3 linked regions of the Macaca fascicularis genome follow. The protein of the gene in region 2 interacts with the protein of the main gene of each other region in a biochemical or structural test. Links are inferred from orthologs where the notes say so. Each region holds a gene or a part of one and is shown on either strand. Other genes may lie near its edges.

Region 1 (3,644 bases), on a different chromosome or scaffold from region 2:
CAAAGACCTATCCGGCCAACGTCACAGAGACAGGCCTCTCAGAGGACGGATGGGAACAAGCATAGCTCAGGGAAGCACCTGATGGGCTCTTGTTGGTGTCATGTCTCCAGTGGCACTGGTGGCCCTCCCGACGGCCTCCCTGCTCCAGTGGGCACCCGCGTCTCCCTCCTGGCCCCATTCCTGCTGAGATTGTAGACTCATTTCAGATTGCCACATCAGGCGACTGCGTAACCAACGGAAACATTGGGAATCTTGCACATTTTTCTCAACACTGTTGAAACGGCCATGAAGAACATTGCATAAGATGTATAAATCTGGGGCTTTATTTCATTACCCCCCGAGCACAAGTTGAAGCAGGGAATGGGGTGAAGGGAGAAGCTTAGTCTCTGTCAGCAAGCCACATGTCAGGGCTACACAGCCTAGTCCAGCACCCTGTGCCATGTCTTAAAGATGTTTTACTGATGTCCAACTTGCAACTGTGCCCTCAACACCCAACACCTCTGGTTAAGTCTGTTGATCCTGGCAGTGGCCAGCTCTTATCAGGGTTCTCAATGGGGAGGGGAAGACTCTGGCCCTCAGGAGACATTTGGCAATGTACAAGACATTTTTTATTGTGACAGTAGGGAAGGGGATGCTACTGGCACCTGGTGGGTAGAGGCCAGGGATGCCACTAAACATCCCACAAGGCCTAGGGAACCCTTACAACAAAGAATTGCCCAGACCCAGGCATCAACAGTGGCAAGGCAGAGAAATTCTGGCTTTTGGGGTTATCTATAATGCAGAGTTCCCAATCGACTGGATGGGACTCTGATACTGTTTAAATCTGCAGTCCTTCCCAAGAGAAGGTCACCATGATGCCAAAGGCAAAAAAAAAAAAAAAATCTGCAATCAAACAAGAGAGAAATCCACAACAGCACTAAGGGTGAGGAAGCAGGCAGTGGTATCACAAAATTCACTGGTGCTGAGGCTCCCTGACCTGGGGTTCTTCATCAGAAAGAATCTGGAGATGTGGGGGCACCAAGGGACCCCCTCGAAGGTGAGTGCAAAGCATTCCCTTGTCCCCATATTCCTTGGAGTGGTCAGTAATGGGCATCAGATTCTCAAGAAGACCAGCAACCTCAAATTGCAGATTTAACATAATTACTGAAATGCACAGCCCCGCTGCAAACATCGGTCAGGCAAAGATGTGCAGGACCAAAATGCATCTTAAGCCGCCTTTGACCTATTTATGGTCCACTCTGGAGTTAAGGTGTGATCTTTTGTCATTTTTGTTCTCTGGTGTCAGGGGATCGTCATCTGTGGCTGGGAGTCCAGCACTGTCATGGGGTCCTACAGCCTTGACTCCCTCCACACCTTGTTTGTGGTCTCAGGTCTGATTCTGGCCCCCAACAACTCAGCCCCCTTTGCCCCTCTCTCACACCCACTCTCCTCTCCCCATCCCTGGCCCCCAAATGCAAGAGAATAAGCACACATGGCAATGGCTTATAACCTGGGCTATGATTCAGTCTACGTGTAGTGTCCACATTTGCAAACGTGGAAGTCTAGGCTTGACCTTGACCTAGGGCTCCGAATCTCCCAGAGGTGAAACCTGGACATCTGGAGCCTTAGGGATGCCCACACAGCACTCTGATGACCCACAAGGAACTCAATAGCCCAGCTGGTCTGCAGAGCTGGGTTGCCCCAATTCCTGGTTCCTCTGTCTGAATCTAGGTGTAATGGCAAGAAATCTCTGTTGATCAGCTATTCTGGAGTTAGGACCAAGGGTTCACAGTTGGGCCATCTTGCATTTGAATGCTGGCTCCATCATACAAGAACTGTGAGACCTTAACAAGTCACTTCTCCTCTCAGCGCCTCTATAGAATGAGGGTGGGAACAGCATCTACCACACAGGATCGTGTGAGCAGAAAACAAGCCGTGGACCAGGCCTGGCACAGAACAAACCCTCCATCACATCTCTCCACACATGGGGAACTCATTACTCTCAAGGGAGGTGAGACCAGTTTTAGACATCTGCTGCAGGTTCACAACCCCCTACACGACCCAGCCCCCAAAGGAATGACAGATGGCATCTCACCCTCCTGAGCTGGCCCTACAATGCCAGGCAGAAGTATCAGCTTTGAAAGAACAAGGACTGAAACCTTCCCTGGTATATGCATCGCCTCTGACGGAAGCCCGCGGGAAAAGGTCTTAGTGTGAGGGTCTCCAAGAAGTCTTTTCTCCCACTTGGCTCATCAGGAAAAGGAAACGGCAGAAAAGGGAAGAAAAGAGGCTTCGACCCCCTCATCAGAATACAAGTGACCACAAAAGTGACTCTGTCTCTCAAGAGACGTGATATCAGTTCATGTACATTTTTGAGACACATTCTGCACTCCTGAACCAATGTTTGCTTTTTTAAAAACTGGATTACTTTTTAAGTAAATGAGAAAGACGTCACTCAACATCTCCACCAGTCCATGGGGGAAAGGAGACACTGTGCCCACAGAGAGGAAGCGAGCTGGGGTCTTTACCTTGAAAATGGAGGCATCCACTTCCTGATTATAATCTTGCTTGCCAGCGTGTTTCCAAGGGATCCGGAACATGCTCTTCTCGTCATTCTCCCAAATCAGTCCTGGATACATGCTACTGTCAATCTGCTCGATCAGCCACTGTCGAAGCCGCCGACCACCATTTCGGTCACACATCCTTGGAAAGACAGAAACACATGCTGCGATATTACGGATATTGTCTCATTCATCACAGCAACCCAAAAACTGCTAACAGGAAACTCAGAGGTTTGCAGCAAAGGTGCTGGCTTGGGGGAAACCCACAGATTCAGGGACTCCGGGACACCTGCCATGAGAAGGCAATGCTGGCCTCCGTGACCTCACAGCCCTGAATGCAAACTGAAAGCTCCTTGGGAAACCTGCAGCCACCTGAAGCCACCAGCAGCCCCCTGCGGGCCCCTCCCACTGTGCTGGCTGTGCTCCTTCCAGCTTTCACTGGCCCTTTCCTTTCAGGCAGATACAGCCACAGTGAACAGCTCCAGTTTTAGCACAAGACTGGAAGGGAAGGGGAAATCACTTCTACAGCACCGGGTTTCTTCACCGAGCAGCCCATTAGCCTAAGAACTGACTGGGTTACTGGATGCCCAGCTGGCCCCATATTCCCTGATAGAATACAGCGTCTGTGCCATCTGAGAAAGAGGAGGCCCTCAGGCTAGCCCGTCTAAACAGCTGTTCCTTCACAGTGATAAGAGCACGAGTTTAAGAATGAGACAGAACCGCAATCTCATTCAAGTCCTGCCACGGCTCAGCTGGGAGACCCTGGATCAGCATTTAATCTCAGGGCATCAGCTACCCAGTCCCAGATGAAACTCAGGAAAAACTACCAGTACTGGGTGTAGGGAGAACTCAGATGGTATACAGAAAGCAACTGAGACAGGGCCTGGACCTTACACGCCAGATGTCATTATTATTATCCAAACTTCCTGGGCAACTCCTATGACCAACTGAAAGAGACAAGCGTGAGGGAATAAACAGCAGCTACAGAACAGGGCAAAGTTCACTGGGTTCCTCTTCCAGAAGATGTCCCACTCTAGGGACCTAACCATCCCAGGGCACCCAAAGACATCCTTTGGAAGAACATTCTTACCCAAGTAGACAGCT
Region 2 (4,358 bases):
AGGGGGTGGGGGCGTGGCAGGCCCCGTACTCACCGCTGTGACTCTCCCCATCACTGCTGAGATAGGGGTAATACTCGTGCGTTTGGCGTTGGTACAGGTCCGTGTCATAGGGCACCAGGTCTTCCGATGGCTGCTGAGAGAGGAGGTGTCAGGGCCTGCACTGTGTGGGGGGACCCCAACCAGGCCTGCAGCACCCCCGCATGCTGGGTCCCCACCACCTTCCTTGGCTCAATGACTGCGTTGGGCCTACAGTCCTCCCTCTGCCTAGAATTGGGACAGAGAGTGGGGCAGGGGACCCGGGAGGCCTGAAAAGGGGTGACAGGGACCTTGGGGGTCAGATGTCAGAAGAGGACCAGGGTCCCCCCCTGCTGGGCTACTCCCCATAGCCACCTCATGCTCACACTCACACTCATGCCTGTGTGCCCCCATCCTCATCCCACACCCCTCTTCTGGTCACACTGATGCACATGTCCACACGATCCCTGTGACACCCTCACACTCATAATCCCACATGTGGACTCACTCTCATAGCCCCTACCCACCCCGATGCAGGCGCCTGTACACTGTTCCTCTCACACACATCTTCACACCCACCCAGAAGTCACCCACCTCACAGAGATATTGTACACTCAGCTCATGCGCACACGCAGTCTCCTTGACACTCACATGACACCACGTTCCAGCCATCAACACACACACTCACACCCCCAGAGCCACTCACATTCCACCCGCACACTCACCTGCACAGCACACACTCGCCTGCCCAGTCCCACTGTCACAACCTATGCCTCTCACACAGCCTGGGCAAGAGTGGCACCACAATGACCGTCCACATGATGGTTGGTGCAGGGGTCACCGGGGCAGGCTTGGGGGCCGAGGGCATGGAGGGCCTTGATCCCCTCACTCTCCCTCCTGAGTCCTCCCTAACCTCCTCCTTCCCTCCTCACCGCCACCCCCACCCTGTCTCCTTTGCTTCCTCCTCCCCCTCCTCACTACCCTCTGTCCTCCTTTTCTTCCCCCTCCTCCCTGTCCTCCTCCTTTCCTCCTCCTCTTCCTCCCCCCCTTCCTCCCTCCTCCCTGTCCTCCTCCCCCTACTGGCACAGACACAGGGCCGTGCACACCCAGGAGCCTTCCCAACAGTCGTCAGCCCTCCCCGCCCCCACAGTGTGTGGCCCAGGATTGCACAACAGTCACTGTGGCCCTCAGGGCTGGGCTTGGGGGACTGGGGCTGCCTTGGGAGCCCACCCTACCAGGAGACACTCAGAGTGACCCTGGAGCTTGCAGAGAGGGCTGGGGGGCCTAGGGACGGCCCAAGGAGCTCTGCCACCCGTTCAGCTCCACCTGGAGTTCAGGATTGAGAGGTCAGGGGTCAGAGACAGTGGGCCTGTGGCTTTCTTGAGGCAGAATTGGCTCTTCCTGAGACAACCTCCATCACCCTCTGCCTGCGCCGCCCCCTTCGTGGTCCCAGGTGGGAAGGGGTGTCAGGGTGTGGATGCCACAGCGGGCTGGCTGGTCCTGCCTGGTCCTGCCTGTGTCTGGCCAAGTGAGGAGGCCAGGAGCCCAGCACTGAGCCTGCCCCTCTGGGTTTCCAGGTAGTGGAGCCTCGATGCAGGATGTCAGCCTGACTCTGGTCGGATTGGTGTGATGTCAGGCCTGGGGTGACTCCCAGCCTCCTGGGGTGGCTCTGAGCTGGGGCACGGTGGGGGAAGGGAGCTGCCTCTAGGCCAGGAAAGTGGAGTCAGGAGGGCATCCTGCCAAGCCCTTCCCGGCTCCCCTCAAGCCTCCCTACTCCTGAGAGGTCATGGGGTGGGAAAAGGGAGAAGGGTCCTCTCAGAGGGACCCTGGTCTGATACCTGCCTCAGGCTGCAACTGTCACTGAGAGTGAGGAGCAGTGGCGATCTGCTTCTCTTCTCAGGGTCCCCTGGGGTTCCCACTTTTTCACCCCCAAGATCCAGTCCCTGTCCTTGTCCCAGCCTCAGCCCCCATTCAAACTTGTCACATGCTCACCCCAGGTCCCACCCAGCCCCAATCTCAGTCCTGACCTTGTCCCAGCCCTGTCCCCTGCCGCGCCTCTCCCTGAACTCCAGCCCTGGGGCCAGCCTCAACTGCACTGTCTCAGCTCCACTCCTGGCTCCTTTCCAGCACCGGCCCCTGTCTCCTGTGGGTCCCCCTGTGGGCCTATGGCCCCGACCCTTTGGTCAACAATCATGTCCTCTGTGCCAGGCCCCAGACTGGGTGTTGGGGACCCAGAGTTCCATCAGCCTCGGTGTCCAGGAGCCCCAAGGCCATGGGCCAAGGCTTCTGCCTGTTGCCTCCTGCCTTCAGCCCCTTCCTGTCCAGGGGATCGGCCTCCTCCAAGCCAGTCCCCCCATCTCTCTCCTCTACCTCTCTACCACTGCCCTCACCATCCTCAGCCCAGCACCCTCCCCAGGAGCCCCGGCCTCCGCCTGCCACCCAAGCCCTGTCTATAAATAACTGTTCAGGCCCCACCGATCACAGCCCCACCATGGGCCCGGCCTCAGCCCGCCAGGGCATGCTCCGAGGAAGCCAGTGGCCCCCGCGCTGGGTCTCAGGCCAGGAGTTCCAGGGAGGAAACCCTGACTTCCCACTGATAGCAAGCCAGGAGGGCAGCGGGTGGGCTGGCGGGTTCATGGGCAGGCAGGCAGGCGTCCGAGGGCCACGGGTTGGGCTGGTGGAGGAGTCCCAGTACTCACAGGGGGGACGAGGGGAAACCCTTCCATTTTGCACGCCTGTAACATCCAGCCGGGCTCCGAGTCGGTCAGATCCCCTGCCTCGGTGGGGGCCAATGCAGAGCCCCTCAGGATGGGGTGCCCCGTCGGGGGCTGGACGGTCGTGGGGCGGGTGCAGGGCTCAGGCCTGCCCCCTGAGCTACAGGAGCCCTGCGTGAGCCCCCTCCCTTGACATTGCAGGGCCAGCACAAGTTCCTGATTTTATCGAAGGGCCTGCCGCTGGGAGATAGTCCCCTTGGGGTGACATCACCGCCCCAACCCGTTTGCATAAATCTCTTGCGCTACATACAGGAAGTCTCTGGCCGGCTGGGGCAGGTGGTGCTCAAAGGGCTGGCCTGGGAAGCCATGGGGTCCAGGCCCCCTGCCCAGAGGAAGCTGCGACTGAGAGGGATGACTTTGGGGGCTAAGCTGGGGAGGGAGGTTGGAAGGGAGAACGTGTAGCTCCGCCACACCACTGGGAGGCTTTTGCTCTAACCCAACAAATGTCTGCTGCTTTTGAGATCCCTATGTAGCCAACAGTCACCTTGTTGGGGTCAGAGCTGGAAGGGGTGGCCTCCTGGGGCCTCCACTTTCTGGGGTCAGCCTTGCTAGGTGAGGGCTCTGATCTGGCAGGCTAGGCCTGCCTCTTCCTGTGGCCCTGCACCCCCACTGCCCAGGCTGTCCCTCGGCTGAGGCTGGGCTCCGGGGTAGGGTCTTCAGCACACTGCTGCTTTCTTCCTTTCTTCCTTCCCTCTGAGTCTATTCACATGGGCTTCTCTTCCACTAGAAGAGGGTCCTGGGTCCTTATACCCTTCCCTCCCAGCTTCTTGAGTACCACATTCAAATCCCTAGGGCTCTGTTTCCAGCCCAGGTTTCTCAGTTTCCCCATCCCTTGCCAATGCCTGAATATGAATGTAACCTTCCTAGTTTACAAACCTTTCTTGCCTATCCACCATTCGTCTGTTTTCCCGTGCATCTGTTTGTCTGTCTGTTTGTCCATCCAGCTATCCATTCATCAAGCCCACCATGCATTCACTTATTTGTCCATTTATCCAACTCTCCATATATTTGTTCATTCATCTGTCAGTCAATTCATCCACCCACCCATCTGCTTATCTACTTGTCTGTCTAGCCATCTATATGTCCATTAATCAGCCCGTCCACCTACTATCAGTCCATCAGTCCACAATTCCATCTGTTTATCCATCTATAAACCTGCTCATGCATTCATCCACCTATGCATCCGTCCACCCATCCACTCATCCACCCATCTACCCATCCACTCATCTGTCCATCAACCCATCCATCATCCACCTATCCCTTCATTCATCCATCCATCCATCTACCAGTCCACTCATCCACCCATCTACCAGTCCACCCACCTACCATTCCACCCATCTATTCATTCACCTATCCATCCATTCACCTATCACCCATCACGCATCCATCCATCCCTCCATTCATCCATCCATCCATTCATCCACCCATCCACCCATCTACCCATCTACCCATTTACTTATCTGCCCATCCACCAATGCAGCCATCTACCCATTCACCCATCCACTCATCCACCCATCCATCCTTCCAGTCATCCATCCAGCCATCCACCAATACACCCATCCACTTATC
Region 3 (3,644 bases), on a different chromosome or scaffold from region 2:
GAGAGCAAGACCTTGCTGCTCTCTTGCTCTTCACAGACAGGCCAGGTAGGACTCAGAAGAGCCCAAGGCCTCCTCAGGGCTCAAAACAGGGTGGGGCTGGTACTGGCAGCAGGAGGACAAAGGGCAGGCAGAGTTCTAGGGACTGGAGCCGACACGTGTGGTTGGGCACTGCGGCTGCCTGGAAGAGAAGGGATGAACTAGGAAGGAGGACAGAGGAAGGGAAAGAACTGAAAGAATGAAATGAACAAAAGGCAGAAATGGAAGCAGAGAAGAGAAACCAATCAGGAAGTCCTTATAAAATTGCAGCAAACACTTAGAGTTTCGGAGCTTCGTGGGAACCCTATGTGCTGAGCCCACTTTAAAACAAGCGCAGGTATATATACATATCCAGGTAGTTCTCAACACCATCACATCTGGTGGCCTGAGGGACTAAACGTCACCAATTCAAGCCAGTTTGCTCTCAGAGCATCTGTTTGTTTTGAAGTGGGAACATGAAGACTCAATAGTGCAAATAATTCTAAGCTGTCCCTAAAGGAGTAGAATTGGAAAGTAACTGGAAGAACATTTTCTTCTCCTCCCCCTTTGCCCCTTCCCTGTCCACTAAGTCCCTAACTACCGGTCACAGACTGCTCTGAGACGAGGAATCCCTCTCACCCCGCTGTGTTCGGCCCGGCCTGACCCTGGGCCAGCCTGCCTGTGCCTTGTCCTACTGCCTCCATGGCCTCTCTAGTGCCACCAACTGGAGGACGTCCCTTGAGAATGGACCATGCCACCTCACCCTGGGCCATCCTCTCCTGTGATTCAGGCCAGTCTACACCCAGTAGTTCAAGGGACAACTCCCTCCTAGCCATGCCGGAACAGACAGGTGCCACTTTCCTGTCCTGTGAAGCGTCCTTGCCAGTTTTGGATTGGGGCTGGGGTGGGGCCAGATTTGAGCCGCCACGGGTGGGATCGCACGGGCCATAGCCACTGGTCACATCCATCTCTAAAGAATCCAACTGTCTCTCCTGCCTCACACCTCCCTGTCCCAACGTGGTTGGGAGTGGGGGAGGTGGGGGGAGCTGGGGGAGTGGTAGACGGGGCACTGATGGCACCGAAAACGGGAGTGTCCTCTCAACTGCTCTGTCTCTAACGACCACATGGGGGAAAGGTTTGGGCGGGAGGGGAGGTGCCTGGTCAACAGCTTGTCTGGTCAGTAGTATCTGCAGCAAGCCTTGTTGAAGGAGCCTAGTTTAGAAAAGTGCAAAGCTACTTCTGGCCCTGGTTAGGTCTTCAACCTGACTGTGCTTGTCGGTAAGAAAAACATCCCCAATGCTCCAACTACTCCCACCCTGAAGCCACGAAACTCTAAGTTTACTGAAAGAAAAAAAAATATTTTTTATTTCAGTTAATCGGGAAGCTTTGTCAGAGCCCTACCCATAAGGAGAAGAGACAACAGCTGCCTTTATTCTTGTTGGTTTGCTTTGCAATCCGCTCTGTGTAAAGTCAGCTAACTCTCTCGGTCACGGGCGTCCGGCTGTCCACAGGCTCCTCTCTGTTTGGCCTTGGCATGGAGGATGAAACAATGTCTTTGCGCTCTCCCTCCCCTCGGTGTTTGTACTTTTCTGCGGCCGTGGCGGCGGTGGCGACCGCGGGCTGAGTCTTAGCTGGCTCCTTGGGGCAGCCGTCGCTCTCCAGTGAGCCTCCTCTGGGCATCTTCTCCTCTTTGCAGACGCTGCTGCTCAAGTCCTGGGGCTCAGGGGGGCTGGTGGGGTCCTCGGAGCTCTCGGGCTCGGGTGGAGGTGGGGGCAGGGGTGGGAGCAGCGGCACGGGGGCCTTTGGGGACTCTGAGTGGTGGTGATGGTGGTGGTGCTCCTTCTTGGGGGGCGAGGAGGCGCTGCTGCTGCGCCCCTTGGGGCTGCTCTCCTTGCTTTTCCGCCCAGGGCTCTTACAGGTCTTCAGTCCCTTCCCGCTCTTCTCACCGAGGGTGGACACCAGCAGGGGCTTCACCACTTCCTTGACCTCGATGCTGACCGTCTCCCGGGTCTTGCGCTTCTTGATGGGGAGTACGGTCTCCTGCACAGATCGGATAGAAGACTCCTTCACGGCTTTCTTTTTGGCCTCGGCGGCAGCGGCTGCCACCACACTCCCTGGCTTTCGGCCCCGTTTCTTGGGAATGGCCTGAGGGTCGGCCTCAGCTTTTCGCTTCCTGCCAGGGCGTTTGATCACCATGACCTGGGTGGATGTGGTGGCCCCACCCCCCTCAGCCTTGCCCCCTGGCGAAGTTTGAAAAGGCATCTTGACAAGGAGCTTCCCAGGACTTTTCTCCAGGACCCTTTTCACCTGCACACCCTCTGACGTGGCCGCCTTGGGTCTCGTGGTGCCGCTCCCTTTGGGGCGTCCCCGGCCTCTGCCAGTTCCTGGAGCTTTGGGAGATTTGGGCTTCTTAGGTGGTTTCTGCTCTCGCCGGGAGGGGCTCCCTCTCCCAGTTACCGTGAAGTCAAAATCATTAGGGTCCAGGGATGTGTCGCCTACCTTTTCGAAGTACGCAATCAACTCCACTTTAGAGCGAAAGGCTTTTCCCTGGGGACTGTGGGGACAAATGGAAAGACACAAGAAACAATTAGAGGCTCTCCATGGCAATGTCAGAGATAGGGCAGAGCGGATGCTGGTGACAACACTCTGATAAACGTTACTACTGAACAAGAGTTACACTGCCTGGCTGCCCCTGAGGACCTGTCACCAAAGCCACTCACTCGTCTGCCTGCCGCTGACCCCCCCAGGCCTCTCCAAAGTCCAGCAACCAAAGAGTCAGGTCTGGTACAGAAGGGCTGTTGGGCTGAGGCCCATTCTGCCGGTTGGTGCCTGGGCCTGAGTCACCATCTAGAACATACCCAATTTTGAACTCAGGTATGGTGGTCAGTCTCTCCAGGAATCAGTTTCAATAAGATAATCCTTTGCTCACCCTTCTCAGGGTTATGGAATTAAATGATGCTGTCTGCAAATGTCATCTGAAAACTGCTAACCTTTTTGGGATCATTTAAGGGGCAGAACTGAAACATGCTTCTTCACTCCTCTGAACCCCTGTCCCTGCCCTCCCTGCCCTATAGAGGCAGGAGTTGCTCTTACTTACTTGATCAAATACACATCATACTTCCCAGCAGAGCGGCCAGATTTCCTTTGCTTAAGCTTCCGTGTCCAGCCTTCAGGCAGGGTGGGGTCATCATACATGGGTCCCCGGTCACGGATGATGGAGCGCCGCTGTTTGGGGGAGGCAGAAGCTTCCGGCACAGCCGGGGCAGACCCCGACCCTTCTGATGTCTCCGCTTTGCCTGCCTCTGCGGGCTCAGCAGAGTGGTGGGCTGATGGCTGCACTGGCTCATGCTTGCCCTCTTTGTCTTCTTTCTTATCTTTCTTCACCTTTTTAAACTTGAGGGGTTTGTCCTTGAGGCCCTGGAGATCCTGGTCTTCTGACTTTTCTTCCCTGAAGTGTTAAACAAGTATGTAAGTATCACAGAGAACATGCCAGTCTGCAGAACAAGTGGGCAGAGGCAGGCTTGGATCCCCACCACATGCAAGGCCCCACACCATCATACACTCAGATCTTGATGTCCTTCCCCAGGACAACAGAGCCTTGAGTTGGGACCCAAATATTTCTTTAGGAA

Evidence for each region.
Region 1: the proteins of SPI1 (region 2) and IRF8 form a complex in vitro, tested with the Homo sapiens proteins (3 studies listed by BioGRID). The link is inferred for Macaca fascicularis from reciprocal best matches to the Homo sapiens genes SPI1 and IRF8.
Region 3: the proteins of SPI1 (region 2) and MECP2 form a complex in vitro, tested with the Homo sapiens proteins (2 studies listed by BioGRID). The link is inferred for Macaca fascicularis from reciprocal best matches to the Homo sapiens genes SPI1 and MECP2.

Annotation. Positions count from the first base shown.
Region 1 is NC_088394.1:81,800,739-81,804,382, reverse strand, and holds part of IRF8 (interferon regulatory factor 8), read right to left. Parts: intron 2,683-3,644; 5' UTR 2,682-2,682; coding exon 2,508-2,681; intron 1-2,507. UniProt on the Homo sapiens protein: Transcription factor that specifically binds to the upstream regulatory region of type I interferon (IFN) and IFN-inducible MHC class I genes (the interferon consensus sequence (ICS)). Can both act as a transcriptional activator or repressor.
Region 2 is NC_088388.1:18,465,705-18,470,062, reverse strand, and holds the start of SPI1 (transcription factor PU.1), read right to left. Parts: upstream 2,927-4,358; 5' UTR 2,760-2,926; coding exon 2,715-2,759; intron 134-2,714; coding exon 34-133; intron 1-33. UniProt on the Homo sapiens protein: Pioneer transcription factor, which controls hematopoietic cell fate by decompacting stem cell heterochromatin and allowing other transcription factors to enter otherwise inaccessible genomic sites.
Region 3 is NC_088395.1:160,098,809-160,102,452, forward strand, and holds part of MECP2 (methyl-CpG-binding protein 2), read right to left. Parts: intron 3,464-3,644; coding exon 3,113-3,463; intron 2,570-3,112; coding exon 1,486-2,569; 3' UTR 1-1,485. UniProt on the Homo sapiens protein: Chromosomal protein that binds to methylated DNA. It can bind specifically to a single methyl-CpG pair. It is not influenced by sequences flanking the methyl-CpGs.